2 linked regions of the Bombyx mori genome follow. The protein of the gene in region 1 binds, or shares a complex with, the protein of each later gene. Links are inferred from orthologs where the notes say so. Each region holds a gene or a part of one and is shown on either strand. Other genes may lie near its edges. The genes, in order: integrator complex subunit 4 and integrator complex subunit 7.

Region 1 (9,078 bases):
TTTCGCCTAATTACTATCTAAAATATCGAAATTTTATGCTTCGCAAAGTCAAATTTGGTGTTGACCCGTGTTATCTATGAGATGTTTACTTTGGTCGTGATGGTCGAGCGGCCGGAGGTGGTCCCGGGGCGGCAGCAGCGCGTGCACCCGGCGGTCCGGGTAGGCCACGCGCACGCGCAGCGCGTCCGCACAGCGCACGCGCGTCACCTCGGCCTCCAGCGCCACGCCGGCCACGAGCCCCGCGCTGAACCGCACCACCAAGTCGTTGTCGGCGGCCGGCTCCACTATGCTAGCTTTGCACATCACGATCTTAAACAGATAATCGATTTACAGAGCTCAACCAAGAAAGAAGATAACACACACTGAAGTTTTTTTTAAGGGATTTTATGACCTGGTAACTAAGACCTTTAAGTCAAATCTTATTTTAATTTTAATGAATACTTTTTTGAAGAATGATAATACGAAATGAAATCGAAACGAAGTGAAATGAAAACGAAATGTAATGAAATGTGATGAGATGACATGGGATGAAATATTATAATCTCAGTAAAATGGTGGTCATTTACTGAGACTCTTTCAGTGGACTTTTTGGAGGATCCCGAGAAGTTAGATGCAGCGGATTTTTTTCTATTTCCCACATTTGTGCACCTTCACAGATACTAAACAGTTAATAAACCACCATTATTACACATTTAAACCTGAAGAAACACTAAATAGACAAAATAAAGCAAATCACACAACTTCACTTCTCGCGTTCCCGCCAAAAAGTCCACATTTAAGTTACAGATCGTTTAGCTACAGATTAGAAGTAGCCCTGAAACTGCGATACTTTAAGACAAATATTTTTTCTGTATGGAAACTACCGACATTTTGTAGCGTATGCCCCTAAACTTGTATGTTGTTTTGTAGGCAGACGAGCATACCGTCCAACTGATGGTAAGCGGTTACCGTCGCTCATGGACATCAGCAATGCCAGGGGCAGTCAAGCCGCTGCCTACCATTAAGTGCTGTCTCCGCAAGCCTCGTTTGAAGAAGGACATGTCGTAGCGCTCGGGATACACCTTGGAGGGTAGTTTATTCCAAAAAATTTAGAAACGCATTGTCGATGAACGCAGCGGTTCCTAATAATATGGATGAATCATGTAGCGAATTTACAATAGCCACTTCAATGAAAACTGTTAACGCCTAAACTAAAATTTAAGGAGCAATATTGAAAATTTTATGTTTACCTACACCAATTACACTTTAACAAATCGTCGTGCCAAGCTAACTTGCTCGCAACATAAAAATTAAGAAAAAACTTGTATACAGAAAATACAAATTTCTTAGATGGATGGAAGAACTCACAGCGCACCTGGTGTTAAGTGGTTACTGGAGCCCATAGACATCTACGACGTAAACGCGCCACCCACCTCGAGATAAAAGTTCTAAGGTCTCAAGTATAGTTAGAACGGTTGCCCCACCCTCGCATTGCTGCTTCACGGCAGAAATAGGTAGAGATCGATTTGGAATTTTTATTTAAGAAACCCAAGCATCCAACAAAAACGTATTTCGAACTTTAACTATTTCAGTGTCACGTTTGTACGCGGCCCGTCTTATGATAGCACACAATGGTAGTTTTCCAATTACAGCACAAGAGCGCATTATGCGGCATAATGCTCAACGTTGAATGTTCCAACTACAGCGACGCTTCGCACAATCGAGCGCTCTCAAAAGTACTGCCCTCGCGTGATACTCGCAATCGATACCGACTCAGTGACAGAAAATTGACAAGTGTTTTTTCTTTAAGTTGGCATTGATCGAAATTTTGTTTTTAATATCGTTAGTAATATTATTTAATGTTGAAAAAAATGGTAAGGCTTTCGTTTCGTCGTAGTTTCTTAGAAATAATCAATGTTAATTAAAACTGTGCTAACTTAGCGCACTCTGCTGATGCATTTGAAAACTAATTCACGTTCCAATTAAGCTTCAGCGTAATTCGGCATTGTGCGTCACTGAGTCGCATTATGCTCTGTAATTGGAAAACTACCAGCGATTGTCTGAGCGTACCTTAAGGTTAGGTTTGGGTATGACCGGCAGCGGCGCGGACAGTAGGAGCGGGTGGATGCTCCTCGCCAGCGCGGCCGGCTTGTTGTCCGCGTTCATCGACAGCTGACGGAACACTGCTATCGTGAACGGATCCGGCTCTACACCTGGACAATACAACGGTCAAACTTCAATACGCTCTCTAAAGCTGTGACAGTCCAGTTTGAAGACATTGCACCGATGCCATTTAACGCGTTGACTGTCTTGTATGTTCCCTGTTCACGCCGGCCGTTCTATTTACTGAAATACCGTAATCTATGAAGTCTTATTGAATTTACCTGCGGAAGCCAGCATTCTGTCCAACACTTCGGCGTGGTGCGTGAGAGCTGCGACGGCCGACAGCGCGGCGGTGTTGCCAGCTGCAGCGACCCCGCCGCTAGTGTTGCCAGCCGCGCTCTGCTGCACGGCGGCGCACAGGCGGGCGGCGCACACTCGCAGCGCCAGCTGCCAAACGCACGCATTGTCCTGTTCGGACATCCCGCTAAACTGATGTTGAAGCCTGTAGAATGTAATTTTTTTTCTCCTATTTATGCCGAAAGTTCGGTTTTTCTCCCGCTGTACAGGGAAGAAAGTCTAACTTTTCCTCCCGCTGTACAGGGAAGAAAGTGGAACTTTTCCTCCCTGGGCAGTGACAAGTGCGCATGCGCGTTAGTGTTTACGTCTGCTCTCACACACCTAAAATTCTCCGCCATTGTTGTGCTCGGGTAATTTGCAATATTGTGTTTAGTGTAAAAGTGAAATAAACAAAAGGCAATAAAATTTTAAAGTGAAGTATTAAACAAAAATGAATCATTCATCAGTTCATCAGACAGTTCTTATTCAATTAGTAGTAGTTTATTTCAAAATTAAACAACAGTTAAATGTTTTTTTATGGGTATGGGGGGGGGGCTGCCCCCCCCTACAGACCGCCAGGCCTTCGCCCCTGGACCCCGGCTCGGTACTCCACGAGCTTTCGGGCTGGTAGGAGAAAAAATTGTATATGTTCCGCGGGAGAAAAGTAGGCCATCTCATCCCACGTGTTTGCCAGTCGCAATTTTACACGCAATGTACTATATTTTTATTGATGCTCGACTTGTATCCGTAAATTTGAAAGATAACCCTCCGTATCGTTAATATTTCGAATAATTGGTATTTATATTTCGAAATTGATTGAACAATTTAGGTATATATAGGATCGAAAGTTTTTATAATTCCTTTGAAAGTAACAAAACAAACCCAAAATATTTAACATTGGTTATATACGGCATACGAGCATACGGCCCACCTAATGCGTAAGCGGTTAGCATCGCTCAATGACGTCAGCAATCCCAAGGGCAGAGCCAAACCGCTGTCTACCTGACTAGTATATGTGTATTTTTTTATTATTATTATTTAGCACAACAGATTTTACACGTGCACGTGCGTACTATCGTTTTACGTTTTATGTAATGATGGAGGCTACCGACCGGAGACAGTCTGCGTGCAGGGAGCGCAGCGCGTGCTGCGGCGGCGCGGCGCACTGCAGCGCGTCATGCAGCGCCCGCACGCAGCGCGCGAACAGTGCCGTCCGCTGCGCCGCGCCGCACACCGCCGGCTCCATCTCCGACAACCTGACAACAATTTGCAATGTAAAACATCTATTTTTTTTAAAGTAATTTTTTGACCTGGTAACTAGGACCTTTAAGGTCATGTCTTATTTTAATTTATATTCTTACTTTTATGAAAAATGACGAAATGAAATGAATGATTAATTTGAGACATTAATCAACTGGGATGAAATGAAATGAAATGAGATGTAATATAATCTCAGTAAAATGGTGGTCATTTACTGAGACTTTTTCAGTGGACTTTTTGTAAGATCCCGAGAAGTTACGTCCAAAGGCTTTATTTTATTTTCCCACATATGTGCACAGATACTAAATAGTTAATAAACCACAGTTATTACACATTGAAAACTGAAGAAACAGTAAATAGACAAAATAAAACAAATCACACAACTTCACTCCTCGCGTTACCGCCAAAAAGTCTGTAAAACATCTATAGCCGACAGTATTTCCACTTTAATGATTTCCTTTCCCCACTCCTCAATTCAAATTTCCCCTTCTCAGGGCTTTAACCTTAACATTTAAGGGCATGAAAAATAGATGTTGATGACAGGTGAATTTTATACATTAGATAAATATACATGGGCGCAAAACCGCCATTATTGGGAATATTTAACATGATTTAAAGCTTCAAAGCGCTTTCCCGTGTATTGTGTATATGCCATTGATTATTTGTTAAAGTAGAGAAGCGTTAAACCGCTTTAAAGCGCTTTCCCGTGTAATGTGTATAAGCCATTGATTACTTGTTAAAGTAGAGAAGCGTTAAACCGCTTTAAAGCGCTTTCCCGTGTATTGTGTATAAGCCATTGATTACTTGTTAAAGTAGAGAAGCGTTAAACCGCTTTAAAGCGCTTTCCCGTGTATTGTGTATAAGCCATTGATTACTTGTTAAAGTAGAGAAGCGTTAAACCGCTTTCCCGTGTATTATGTATAAGCCATTGATTACTTGTTAAAGTAGAGAAGCGTTAAACCGCTTTAAAGCGCTTTCCCGTGTAATGTGTATAAGCCATTGATTACTTGTTAAAGTAGAGAAGCGTTAAACCGCTTTAAAGCGCTTTCCCGTGTATTATGTATAAGCCATTGATTACTTGTTAAAGTAGAGAAGCGTTAAACCGCTTTAAAGCGCTTTCCCGTGTATTGTGTATAAGCCATTGATTACTTGTTAAAGTAGAGAAGCGTTAAACCGCTTTAAAGCACTTTCCCGTGTATTGTGTATAAACCATTGATTACTTGTTAAGTTGTTCCTCGGCCGAGCGCAGCATGTTCAGCCTCACGGCGGTGGAGAGGGTCCCGTTGTCGATGTGCTGCAGCACGCAGTCGAAGAACCGTCTCACGGCGCTGTCGTCCATCGCAGCCTCTATCTTCTCCGCGCTTGATTGCTGTTCGCCTAAAGTACATCAGTGATATATAAGTAAATATGATTAAGATTGGTGTTAAGTAGTTACCGAAGTCTATAAACATCACAACGTGAGTATCGCTTTTTTACTGGTGGTAGGACCTACATACATTTACGTTGTGGATGTCTATGGGCTCCAATAACCACTTAACACCAGGTGGGCTGTGAGCTCGTCCACCCATCTAAGCAAAAAAAAAACATCTGTATAACCTCAAAAGGCCTAATTAATAAAATTTCATAGCACCACACGTCCTACCACCGTAATCCTCGTGACTCCTCGAAAGGCTCGTGTATCGTGTGTATGACTAACCGATGGGCAGATGCGGCACGAGATGAGGCATGGTGTCCCGCAGATACGTGTAATGCTTGATGGTGTGCTCCTCGAACAGCGGCAGCATGGTGGTGCAGTGCTGCGCCGCGTTCAACACCAGGATCAAAACGCACATATCTATTATGGACTAGTTAAGGATATTAGCTTCAAGCGAAAACTATCTTAAACATACAGCTATTAAGGTTCCTTTTTTTTTTAAATTCAAATTATACAATCTGTCATTAAAACACTATTCAATACACAACATAAGTACTGTCATCATCATTTTTGTTTCAAAATTTAGAATTTGTCGATTTGTGTGTGTGACTTTGATCATAATAATTGGTTTATTTCATTCGAAAACAGAATCGTGTAGTACAATAGTATACTTGAGCCATGCTTTGTATCAGGAAATTATGCCCTTCCTTTTACCTAGCCTTTCCTAAAGTTGACGATAACGCCCCCCTGTGGGCGCTGCAGGCCTAAAGGGGAGCGGTAACAGATCCAGAAAAAAATGGGAGCGTTGTGCAGAAGCTTGAGAGGCGATTTGTAATTTCATCTAAGAGGACTCTTATACACCGACTAAACTTTCACTATAGAGGTTTTTAGGTATGTGAAAAAATGGGGGCGCTAAAGAATAATTTATTCTCAAAGTAGGCAAAGGGCAGTAGACAAAATAAGTTTGGGAACCCCAGTTCTAACCTATGTAAACTAACCTAATTTTTTTTTTTTTACATTACAACCAGCTTTGTAAAAATTAGTATATATGATGGTAATATAGAAAACATGCGTTAAGTTGCTGCGAACCTGCACAGAGGGATACCAGCTTTCTGTCTATTTCTAAGGCAAAAAAAAACATGCGATCGACATTATTGTAGCTTCAAGCACACCAATCACTGCATCACTCGAGTAACTAATACTAAATAAAGAGACTTTTTGGCGGGAACGCGAGGACTGAAGTAGTGTGATTTGTTTTACTTTGTCTATTTTTTTTTTCAGGTTTAAATGTGTAATAACGGTGGTTTATTAACTGTTTAGTATCTAAAAGTGCACAAATGTGGGAAAATGAAACAAAGCCGCTGGACGTAACTTCTCGGGATCCTCCAAAAAGTCCACTGAAAAAATCTCAGTAAATCACAACCATTTTACAGAGATTAACCCCATATCATCTCATCTCATTTTATTTTATTTCATCCCAGTTGATTAATGTCTCCAATTAATCATCTTCATTTCATTTTATTTCACTCCATATTATCATTTTTCAAAACAATAAGAATATAAATTAAAATAAGACATGACCTAAAGGTCTTAGTTACCAGGTCATAAAATCCCTTAAAAAAAACACTAAATAAAGAACTGATTGGGAATTTTGTATGTCTCTAAAATTAATATTGTTCAAAGGATACAAGCTGGATCCTCAACATCTGGCTCAGGCATGTCGAAGAAAGGGTGCACGGCCAGCAGCCTCGTGGTCAGCGGCAGCACCAGGGTCGCGTGCGAGCTGCCCAGCCGCTGCACGCAACGGAATGTCGAACGCTTATCCTGAACAATAACACAACGGACACTTTTTACTGGTGGTAGGACCTCTTGTTGGTCCGCACGGGTAGGCACTACCACCCCGTCTATTTCTGCCGTGAAGCAGTAATGCGTTTCGGTTTGAAGGGTGGGGCAGCCGTTGTAACTATACTTGAGACCTTAGAACTTATATCTCAAGGTGGGTGGCGCATTTATGTTGTAGATGTCTATGGGCTCCAGTAACAACTTAACACCAGGTGGGCTGTGAGCTCGTTCACTCATTTAAGCAATAAAAAAAACTAATTCTTTTTCTCAGTCGTTTGCACTCTTGGGTGGTCGTGGTCATCAGTTCGGGTAGTGGAGCGCTTCATAAGACATCGCCATTCCTCGTGTACCGCGACCTTGTACAATACATACTTAAAAACATGAGTGGATGATTATGAGTTAAGTACCATTTTTAAGATTTTTGAGTTTTAACATTGAATGAAGGTGTTATGTGACAATAAAATATATTAGACCTTAAAACCCCTGGCATTAAAGGCAATTTTTAGATATTGCATGTGATGAAGTTATGTACGAAAAAAAAGTACAATTAACAAAAGTTTGTTGCCAAAGTTTATCATATGTCCTTCATCCATCATGTCTCAAATTATATGTATACGTTTAAATACATACATATTTAGATATTACACATCCAGACAAAGGGCACATAAACATATCCATCACACGAATGTTTGCCCGATGTGGGAATTGAACCCAAGACATTCTAGCCAGCACTCAGCATTAACTACTGTGCCAAGTCAGTCATTCACTAAAAGGAACTACTACAAAAACATACATCTCTTTCACATTGATGTTTATAATCAAAACATTACCCTAGTACTCTTATCAAGTAATTTAATAATAGCTATACCTGTGGATATCTTTTGAGATTCTCCAGAATTTTATCAATGCACATCTCCAGGCATGTTTTGGACGCGACTGTACACGAGCCCAGCAGTCTGTGTAGACCTTCCCTGACGTCCATTGAATAATCCTAAAACCAAAGTTCTATTATTTTCCAGTAAAAACTAAATTGCCCTTTTTCGTAGAAAGAGGTGAAGTTTGATGGTGGCAGATTTCTGTTTAGTTACTTAGGAAAAAAATTAGAAAATAACTTTCATTCTCTCTCTTTCTCTCGCCTTCTCTCTCTCTTTCTCTCGCCTTCTCTCTCTCTCTCTCTCTCTCTCTGCCATCAGGGAAAAGTGGTAATAGATGTCGTAGAGTCGCAGTTGTATTAATCACTGCTCCACCATCCATGAAAACGGAGCGCATGAGTTCTTCCTGAACAAACCAAGCAGGAGGGTGACTTGCGGGCTTCATAGCATCACAAGGACTGTGTGGCGACTCACTTACCCGCCACTTCATACCACTACTTGGGCAACCGCCTTTCAATTTTGGTAAAATCGCTGTCGCTTATGATTTTAGGCCAATCATACGCTATTTTTGTTCGGAACAGGTTCGGAGATGCTTCTTTACTTGCGTTTATTTAGAGTTACTTATGTGCTAATTTACCTATATTGTACATAAATCCAATCTTATATACAATATACGTAACCTAAAAGGCATAACAATATTCATTTTCTCTGTGCTACCTATCTTCCGAGTCAATGCCTAGACAATCTAGCCAGTTGAAGCAGCTTAACTACGGCTGCTCCTACAACTGTATTACAAATAGACTATTATCAGCTTCTAGTATCTCCGGGACTGACCTCCAAGGCTCCTAGTATGGTCTCCAGTAGGTCTTCTCTAAGTACGATATGATGCGAGATCCTCGTGAGGGCGTCGATGGCTCGCAGCCGCACTTCCTCGATCTCGTCATTGAACATGTCCACCAAAAAGTCGAGGGAGGTGGTCGCGAACACCGGGTTTTCTAGTGAGAGTTGACACAATGCTTCGACGGCTGCCGTGCGCACCTCTGGGAACATAAAGAACAATTAGAACAAATTATTACGTTGAAAACAATAATTAAATTCGATTATAAAAAATATTGTAAATCTTACAAGCCTTTATTTGTTATAGAAAAATTGATTAAATTTTATCACTTTGGGGTTTCTGAAAATATACTTTTTTTTAAATAAAGCCTGCGATGCTTAATATGTTATTGTCATCTACAGGAGCAATGAAAAACTAATCGAAGCGTAGCCATC
Region 2 (9,968 bases), on another chromosome or scaffold:
AAAAATAATTACTATCCCTTTCTTTCGTCGGCATAATATTCTTACAATAAACGGCAGGCTAATCCCGATGTTCGCGGCGACGCGGTTGCGTCGGCGGTGATCAAAGAAAAATCTAAACAACGAAGTCAACAAAATATTTTTGACAAGTCAGTCACGCCGCGTCCACCTTATCGATAAGAGGTCAAGTGATAGTGCAAATAAAATATCTCCCGTATTTCGCTATGTCTTTTCGGTCAGTGACCTCCTAGATCAGCTGATTTGACACCTCTCGACTTTTTTTTGTGGGGGCGAATTAAATCGCTAGTTTATAACACAAAGACAATAAGTGCCGAAGAACTAAAGAATAAGATAATAACCGCCTTTGATAAAGTGAAAAGTGACATTGCAGTATTATCTAAAATAAAACAACAAATACGAAAACGGTCATTAAAGTGCATTGAGCAAGGGGCGCGGCGAGTAGGTGTCTGTGTGTGCGTGCGCAGCGGAGTGTGAATCGGTGACCATTTTATTTCCACGAAATGGGAATAACTAATTTCACAAATAATCAATGTTAACGCACATATAAATAATATTTGGTGTATGCATAGCGTTTATACTATTAAAGTCTAATTGGGGTGTTTGAGGGTGTGCGTTAAATATGTTACATGTTGTATATGAATTTCACGTAGACTCCTTGCTAATTTAGTCCGCTAGTTGTCTGCGTGTACGGATAATATACATAAGCTCGTTACCGTCGATGGCGAGCTTGGCGTCGGCGGCGGCGGCCCGGTGCAGCGCCGCCAGCCAGCGCTGAGCCGCCTCGCTGGGGGCCTGCGCCGCCAGCCGGACCAGCAGCTCCGCGGCCAGGTGGTGATGCCCGTACCTTCGGAACAAACATCTTGAGCGTGTCATCCCATGAGGTTGCGGGAGGAGTTAAAGTAATTTAAGGCAGTCTTTCTCGATTGTTATGCGATAGAAACACGCAAGATAGTGATATCACAAGGCCTTTTTTATGATTGAAAGATTACTGGTAGCCCAGAGGCCTTTCCAGTTTCACCAGGACATGTGGGCGAGCAAAGGCTCAGCCAGGAGGAGTGGGATTTGCTAACAGCTGTCCGAGCGCCTCCGAAGGAGACCTAACAACTCAAGAGCAATTCACAAGACCTCTGGCTCGATACGTATTTCCGATTCACCTATGTGCTTCGTGCGTGTTTTTGAACTTCTCGTTTGCCGCTAGGGGCACTGTTCAACTCAATACAAATTTGAGTTAATTTTTACGCTATCGAGAACCTTAAAAAACTCGCACTAAGCAATATGTGCTGCACACTATAAGCACACTTGATTCGTGCTGTTTGCTCGAACCAAAATCAACCTTATGCAGATAACATAAATTCAAATTTGTTTTAGTTAAATAGTACCAATAACGCCTTTGCCATGCTTAGCTATAAAAGGTGTCCTCAAAATTACGCTTGATTTAAATTTGCCGTCTTCTGTGAGGTTAATTGTTGGGAATTACAAAAAAATATAAAAAAAAATACGGTTGACAGGGTAGGATTACAAAATATTTTATGCGCCATTTTGTAATCCTACACTGTCAGGCACTGTTGACAGAGCAACGCGTTGTTGAATATTTTTTTAAATAATGAAATCTATCATTCGTAGTGAAACAAAAGCGACGAATTTTTAATTTGATGTCGCGAACAAGCCATTTTATAATCTTTATTTTGTAACAGTTTTTTTTTAAGTATGGCACAAGAATATTATATACGTTTTTACTGTTTGTTTTACAATATGCTAACCGACATTGACTTGTAAAAAAAATAACTGATCTAATTATACGTGATGAAAATGTAAGGACGACTGTTAAGTTATTCTGTTTCAAGGTCTACATCAACAGACCATATTATGCTCTCACCTCAAGGCGGCCCTGGCGACTCTGTATCGCACCCAACCGTCAGCCACTTGGACCGCGTCCAAGATCTTCGTGCACCAGTCGTTGCTGATGGTAAAGGTCAACGCTTTCCCGGCCCGTTCTTGGAAAAGCACCGTGCAGAGAAGCACCAGAGCGTTACCTTCGTCTGACGGATTTGCTATCGCATTTTCTCTGTAAAGAATAACGCGTATTTGTCAACACAGCGACAGCCGTTCGAAGCTCCGTGACAAAATACCGTCAGATTTTAATCGCCAATTGCAACCAGATTATCAATGCGTAGTTCATTGTTGAATCAAAAATGGTCACATTATATTTACACGTGTTTGTAGCGTAGTTTTGTTTTTCCTTTCGTCGTTAAAATACTCTGAATAAATGCATCGAATTGAGACTTAGAGTTGGACGTCATCACACACCGAATTGAGTACTGAATTTTCAGCAGCAATGTAAACAACTCAATATCATTACGTATTTATTGATAATGTAGTGACGTATTAAACAGATTTGAACAAACAGAAAGATTTCTTTCTCTCAGTGCCGTCTAAACTAGAACTGAATCGGTCATTTTTAACAGATGATACAAAAAAAAATATATATTTTAGAAATGTAGATCTTTTACTTTTTATTTTTACTTAATCTACATTTGTGAATTGTACTTGTTTAATTAATTTCACGAATTAACCCTATTTTAAAAGTCACTACTAATTTAAGGGTTTGATTTGAAATTTAAAGTATTTTGTTTACCTCTGCATGGCTTCCAACGCTTGATGCAGTGCGGGCAACGCTGGTGCCACCGACATGGGACAGTAGGTTCCACCACCTAACGCGCCCAGGGCTTCCAGGATCGAGGCCTCCCTCGGGCCAGGGTTGGCCCAGCTACTGGTAGCCAGTTGTCCAGCAAGCACCGATGCCGTCCGTGGAGCGTAAACTGTGGGTTCTGCAGTGCTCAGCTGGACCTGGCAATGGGTTACCGTTCAAGTTTTATCTTGACCTCGTGACTATTATGTCTCAATCAACTTAACCAATCCACGTTTGTGTTCAGGTTGTTTTTAATATATCGTGTGGATGAAGTTAAAACAGACAATTATGATTGTAATCTGACCACTGATCACTCAAGGGTAGGTTGTGAATTTTTTAATGAGGATTAAAAAAAAATTATGTATTAACAGAAAAAAAAACTTTGTCTTTGCTTTTTTTTATAACTTCTTTCAATCTTTTAACATTAATGTGTGTTAGAAGAAATTTCAATTTTTCGAGGGTATTTTTAAAAAAAATTTACAGCTGATTCAATATTCTTCTCAATCATGTCACTCTTGACAGAATGATCGTGATCGTGATGTAGAGTTGAAGGGTGCGTATTTAATCAGAGATATAATTGTCGAACACCTTTCTTTCTCATTTATGACTTACCAAACACCTAAGCGCAACCCTGAGTGACTTTATATTCTGCCCATTATCAGCCCCTGCCGCTATCACCAGGGACTCCAGAGCCAGCATCAGATCTGAACCTTCCACCGGAAGACATTCTTCATAGCTACAAGACATTAAAAAATGCTGAATGCTGACAGACAGCCTGACATGGTGTATGTTGCAGTCAATATTTGTTTTTGATGTTACAAAAGTCCATGTGAAATACAAAAGCTTGTGCAAAGATATATTTTATTATGAAAGTTACTAGAGTAAGATAAATTGCTCCATCACCCGTTAGCATTTTTTTTTTTTATAGAATGGTAATATGTAAATGTTGCCTGATAACAAAAAGGGCCTTTAAAAACTAGTGCTTTATTTGTTCACGCATTGAATTAAAATACTTATAGCTTCTTTAAGTGCAACCAAATTTTCAATTACAAGTGTATTTATAATGTTTTTTTATGGGACAGTTAAAAGTATCAGATGACATTTATGTTTGCTATCCTTGTTCAGTCATGTGATCCACAAAAATAGTATGTGTATATGAGTTTTCCTTTTGGCTTTAGAGAATAGGTACTGAAAGGTATATTTTGTTGTTAAATTTCGGGCACTAGCAATAATTTTTATATCACAGATCACAAAATGTTTTTCTAATATGTATATTGAAATTGAGATTTCAAGGTAATAGTAGTTCAAGGTATATTAGTGATATTTAACTTTGTACGATAATAGGTTCCATACAGCCATATCTCAACAAAGTAAACAGATTTGTTTATTTATGCCCTCGTTTAGTAACCAAGAGCCTAAGAGATGACCTGGAAGATGCTAGTCATTATACATTTTAACAGGTGGCAGGATGTCTTGTAAGTCCATATGGGTAGGTACCACCACCCTGCCTATTTCTGCCGTGAAGCAGTAATGCGTTTCGGTTTGAATGCATCAAACTCATGTCTCAAGGTGGGTGGCGGCATTTACGTTGTAGATTTCTCTATAGACGTGGGCCGTGAGCTCGTTCACCGATTTAAAGCAATAAAAAAAATTATGAATAGTCACCAATGAACAACGATCCTGGTGAGGACATCCGCAGCGGTTGCGGCTTGCTTCAAGTCAGCACTGAGAGCGGCTTCACTGCAGTACTGCCTCAGGGCACTGTACTCGCCGCGCTGAGGACACCCTGCCGTGGCGCACACTGCTGGGCACTGCACCAGAATCTAGAAGGATAAATTGTCATGTAATCTCCTTGAATAAAAACATGCATTTTACCAATTATAATTAATACTTTTAAGTGAGTCCTTTTTTCAATTAAATAAAGCACAGTGAGATATCTTATTGTTATTACCTGCATTACTCGAAGGCACAGCATAGTGTGGTCAGTGTCTCGACTATCGCTAGCGGCTCTGACCAGGTTCTGTATACAGTGTGCGGGCCAGAGAGCTGCATTCTCAGCCAACTTCTTGAGGCCAAGCAGTGCGGAACGACGTACGGCTGATCGGGCGTCATTCATGGCTATATTTAGCAGTAGTTCAACCTATAACATTAAAAGCACTGAAGTTTTTAATAGACCTAGTAATGTTATAGTGAAGTAATAAGCTTGATTGTAGTCCGAACACTATGAATGCATCTTTCTTCTTATGAGCTTTAAAATGACTCCTTAAGCAGTGATTTGATACTGCACTAAACATTGCTAAGCCTATAAGTTATGGTAACCACGTCTGATCAGGGCTTCACTTTGTGCTTCTGCAGTGACTTTTTATAATCATATAATGAATCATTCTTACCTGATCAGGAACATGAACCACTGTATCTGAAGCTATATGTGTGAGTGCAGTGATTGAAGCTCGCACCGAACTTGACGAAGGAAACTTGTCTAACAATGATCTCAATAATTTCAAAACTCCTTGTGCTCTGATTGCTAGAAAACAAAAAAAAAAGGTTAAGTGTAATTCTAAATTACTTATTAGGTGGTTGGTTTATCAACTTTATTTTTATACATGTTTAAGAATAAAGAAATTAATTTGAATAAAGGTAGGTAACTAGTAAAATTCCTGATTACCTCCACCATGAACGGTCCTCAGGGCTCTGACAAGTTTTGCTCGTCTCTCAGCAGCAGTGCCCTCACTTTCCACCATATCTGATAGCTTATTGCACATGGCTACTGCGAATGAACTAAAACACATCACAATATGAGAAAATACAAGTACAAAATATGCATTTAAAAGTTTGAGAGACAATTAAATAAGCAGTTTATACTTCTGGTAATTAGTAATACTTAGTTATGGTTTGGATTTTTTTTTTTTTATTGCCTTTGTAGGCAGACGGGCATACGGCCCACCTGATGGTGAGCGGTTACCGTCGCCCATGGACTTCAGCAATGCCAGGGGCTGAGCCAAACCGCTGCCTACCATTGCATTGGATGCATTGGATACTTTTTATTAAGTACCTATTTGGTTAACAGATTAAATTTTTGCCTCAATGACAGTTTTTGCAGCTTATGACGGCACTTACTTGGAGTGGGCAGCAAATCTAGTAGTAGCATATATAGCAGCATCAACTTCAACATTGTCATGGCTATCCAAGCCCCTTCGGATTGCGTGATGTACATTCTGGCGCTCTGGGATAATACCTGCTACTGCACCAAGCGTTCTCAGAGCGAGAGCCCTAGCCACCGGATCGTTTGAGTGTAGAACACTAAAGATCCTCCTTAAGAACTCGTCTACGTTCAGAATCTTATCTAGGTGCTTTTCGCTTTGTTGACAGACTCTCAAAACCCAGAGTCTCAAAAAATTGTTACCCATACGAAAAACGTCAGACAATTTAAGAAAAGATGAATTAATTAATATAGGGAAAGGATATTTTTCGAAAAGACGAGGGAACCGGACGATGGCTTCACATTGCTCTCCTACTTTGCACGACCGTAGGCCTGGAGAAAAAAACATTTTTTATTTTGTTTTTTAAATAAAAGTTTTCTAGGTATTAGTAGAGGTTATATTTACCTTTATCGAGCTCGGTCAATGCTGAATTTGCATCTTGTTCAGGCTCCGCCGAATTGTCGTTGAATGTATTCATTTTAACACCAATCATTATCCGTTTAGGTTATTTAATAAGAATAATTTTAATTTATTTTGTTTTGATTGTTTATGTAAACACCCAACGTCGTGTATCATAGAGTCGTGTATTATCTACCTAAGGTGTATACCTAATCTATGGACCTAATGTCTACAATAGTGTTGTCGAATGTTGATTTACTTTTAATCGATCCTTTGCGTGCCACAAATCTCATTACTCGATTCATCGCATCAATTCAATTACAATCATAGTGTCACTAATACAAATACATATTTCATTACAATTTAGATTACAATGCCAAATTCGCATTCTTTCAACGTTTGATTGCCTTCATTGTAATAGTTGAAAACTACCCATTCAGTTTCCGAATAGATAAATTTCGCACATTTAAAAACTATCTTAGTAAAAACCTAAAAAATGATTTGATTCAAACAAATGATTTTCTCTTTCTTTTCTCTTTTACTATCATAACCATATTTATTTAATAAACACAATACATTACATTATTATATAATATTATTATATTTATGTTTCTAATCGATACATTCAAAACATTTGTTTGGCGTGAAACATCGATGTATTTCTTCGTGATGGTCCTATTTTTTTGTACATTTTATGGTCTGGTACCGCGATCTTTATATCATCACCGTATTTGTCTGTTTGGGATTCTGAAGCATATAATTGATAATATGAAGTGAAATGAAATGAAGATGATTAATTTGAGGCATCAATCAACTGGGATGAAATGAAAGGAAATGAGATGAAATGATATGGGATGAAATATAATCTCAGTAAAATAGTGGTCATTCACTGAGATTCTTTCAGACTTTTTGGAGGATCCCGAGAAGTTACGTCCAGCGGCTTTGTTTCATTTTCCCACATTTGTGCACTGTCACAGATATTAAACAGTTAATAAATCACCGTTATTATACATTTAAACCTGAAGAAAAACTAAATAGACAAAATAAAACAAAATATCACACAACTTCACTCCTCACGTTCCCGCTAAAAAGTCGAAATAGACTGATTATAGTTTGGCCAATAAGTTAGGGGTAAAATATCCATAATTCGCATAGAAAATATTTAATAAATGTACACAAGTACGTACGGCTGATTTTTCAACAGGGAAAAAATTGTAAACAAAACTTCTTTTTTGTTTTGAGCGACATCTATCGCCCATTATGGGTCAATAAACATAAAAACTAGAGTTTTAAAGTACATTGGCAACTGACAACAGATGTCAGTATGGTCCTTGTTTTTAGTTTACAGGTACTGAAATACTATGGTCTGTAAATATTCAATTATATTTAACGAGAAAACTCCGCTTTTCGGGTATTTTATGTCTTGATATATTTACATTTATATTGCCGCTTAGAATACTGCCATCATTAGTTAGAAATTGGATTTAATATGTATCACTGAAACGAAAATTGGTTACCAGATTTTGAATATTACCGTTTTAAAAATTAAAGATCGATAACACAAAGTTTAATTCATGCAAATGTGCTGTCTATTTATAAATATCACAAAATTACAATTTAGGAAGGTAAATAGAGGTCATTTAATTTGAGCCACTAAATCTAGTACTAGCTCGACTAAACAACGTTTACCGGGCACCGGGATCAACTCACAAAGGTAATTACAGTTCCAGTAACAATACCAGAGTTGGATGTCATCATTTATCGTAGGGTTGTTCGCTTTGTTTTTTACTAGAATTGGTAATAAAGTTAATTAGGTTGTTCTAATTAGGTCTACTTACGTTATTTAAATGGTAGCTGATTCGCGAGTGGATCAACTACCGGAACGAAATCGCGACCCGCTAAAACTACGTTTCGTTAAAAGTGCAGCTTATAGACATCACAAAGGACTGGGATATTAGGTTGATGTCTAAATTGTATTGTAAAATTGCTATCTTGCCCTTCAAACGAACGTATGGATTGTATGAGACCGTAATATCTATTATAGGCACATGGGTGCTATTTACCCGTGTGATGTCATAATTTGCCCTCTAGCCGGTGAATCTATGCATCTCGTATTAGAGATCACATCGAAGAATGCCTTCTCTTCACGTAAACTAAATTAATATGATTTTAAAATTTAATTTTAATTTATTTAACAGCCCTAGCTGGAGCGCGAAAATTATCCGAAAATGGCGGGAACCTACCTCGATGGCGTCTAATGACACGGGATCACCACAATAATGCCGGAGTTAGATTACCATGAAACAAACATATAGGTGCCTATATGTTATTTGATACAGAGGCTTAGTTTTAAATTTCAAATAAACATGTAAATTTAGGACACCGTACCTTTTATTATCTAAGGTGGTATTAGAAGTACTTCGAGTCAGAGTCGTTTGAAGGGCTGACAGATAATCCTACCGTTCATTCATTGCCCTGGCAATGTTGAGATACTAGAATAAAGGATTTTTTTAAATAAACTGTTCTAAAAGATATTATGCAAATATAATTCTTGCTGTTCTAACCAAAACGAAGAGAAACTTTAAAGAATCATATCTACATGTTAACCTTTCTTTCCTTTTTCTTTTGTATGATTATCTTTTAATCCTTCCGGTGTGAACAGTGCGTTATTTTGACAGAGTTATTTTGAAGGAGAACCTTTTTTTTCGTTTAGTAATTGATGCTGGACGCCAATGGGATCAGTTGGCCCACAATTGTCTGATTTAGACTAATTTTTAAGGATAAATAAAATATAATGTACGTTTTTGTGGTTTTATTGCGACGACAAACTCCTAAATGTATTATGAGGATTAGGTATATTTGGCGCGCTTTTTTTTTACCATTTGCCATAAGTGTATGTGCCAGGGTTTTGGATCAACTGAGTGCTCCGTGCGAGTTTTTTGACGTTCTCGATAGCGTAAAAGTCAACTCAAATTTGTATGGAGTTGGAACGTTTAATTATGTTTGCCGCTAGGGGCGCTGTTTCAACTCCATACAAATTTGAGTTAACTTTTACATAGATATCGACCAACATATACCAAGTCGAAGTTTCTAGTAAGAAATTACGTGTACCCAACATTTTCTATGTGATCAAACAAATATATTTTATCCGGAGTTTTATCTATTAGGCTACTAGTTACCTACGCAGGTATTCGCCTATTTCGACTGTATAAATCGACCGCACGTGCAGGTGCACATGCATATAGTTGTGCACATTGTTTTTACTATTGTTGTACACATGCACAACAATAGTAAAAACATATATTTTTTTAATCTAGTTCTATTAATCGCAGTGTAGGTAGTATAAATCGTAGACCATTAATGATATTTTTTTTATTTTTTCATTATTCTTAACGTTTTGTTTAATGGAGCATTGTGTGACATCATCACAGATGTGTGTTCCTTCAGTACTTTCTATGTTCATTTATTGTTTTAGGTAACCCGACTTATTTCTTGTTTTTCACAAGTTTTAAAGAGTCCTAGATAACTAAAAATATGTATTATCTACGGTTTACGTCAGCGGTAGTCATAGAATTAGTTTCACGGATTTAATTTCATGTTTTTTACTGTCATTACATTGTTTTAGATGTTTTAAATACTTTATAGTTCTCACAAATAATAGA

The links.
Region 2: the proteins of integrator complex subunit 4 (region 1) and integrator complex subunit 7 are in contact, whole or in part, in a cryo-EM structure (PDB 8RC4), measured with the Homo sapiens proteins. The link is inferred for Bombyx mori from reciprocal best matches to the Homo sapiens genes INTS4 and INTS7. Residues at the interface, in NP_291025.3 of Homo sapiens: Glu536, Met539, Asp540, Arg571, His572, Ala574, Tyr575, Asp578, Ser579, Ser610, Phe613, Arg620, Leu624, Leu627, Gly631, Glu634, Leu635, Phe638, Arg641, Asp642, Arg645, Leu646, Glu648, Leu649, Gln650, Lys677, Leu678, Trp679, Asn680, Val681; in NP_056249.1 of Homo sapiens: Lys137, Asn138, His140, His141, Arg144, Gln145, Gly175, His205, His206, Asp207, Ala208, Ser244, Ser245, Leu246, Val247, Lys282, Thr283, Pro284, His285, Thr286, Thr321, Ile322, Lys325, His326, Gly686, Tyr689, Glu704, Gln707, Gln708, Leu711.

What each region holds. Positions count from the first base shown.
Region 1 is NC_085121.1:12,644,397-12,653,474, forward strand, and holds part of integrator complex subunit 4, read right to left. Parts: intron 8,847-9,078; coding exon 8,641-8,846; intron 7,926-8,640; coding exon 7,803-7,925; intron 6,917-7,802; coding exon 6,781-6,916; intron 5,513-6,780; coding exon 5,375-5,512; intron 5,056-5,374; coding exon 4,899-5,055; intron 3,675-4,898; coding exon 3,531-3,674; intron 2,585-3,530; coding exon 2,364-2,584; intron 2,193-2,363; coding exon 2,050-2,192; intron 310-2,049; coding exon 90-309; intron 1-89. UniProt on the Homo sapiens protein: Component of the integrator complex, a multiprotein complex that terminates RNA polymerase II (Pol II) transcription in the promoter-proximal region of genes.
Region 2 is NC_085129.1:14,668,665-14,678,632, reverse strand, and holds the start of integrator complex subunit 7, read right to left. Parts: upstream 6,532-9,968; 5' UTR 6,401-6,531; coding exon 6,313-6,400; intron 6,240-6,312; coding exon 5,825-6,239; intron 5,486-5,824; coding exon 5,373-5,485; intron 5,232-5,372; coding exon 5,098-5,231; intron 4,848-5,097; coding exon 4,659-4,847; intron 4,531-4,658; coding exon 4,373-4,530; intron 3,444-4,372; coding exon 3,320-3,443; intron 2,866-3,319; coding exon 2,654-2,865; intron 2,084-2,653; coding exon 1,895-2,083; intron 863-1,894; coding exon 732-862; intron 1-731. UniProt on the Homo sapiens protein: Component of the integrator complex, a multiprotein complex that terminates RNA polymerase II (Pol II) transcription in the promoter-proximal region of genes.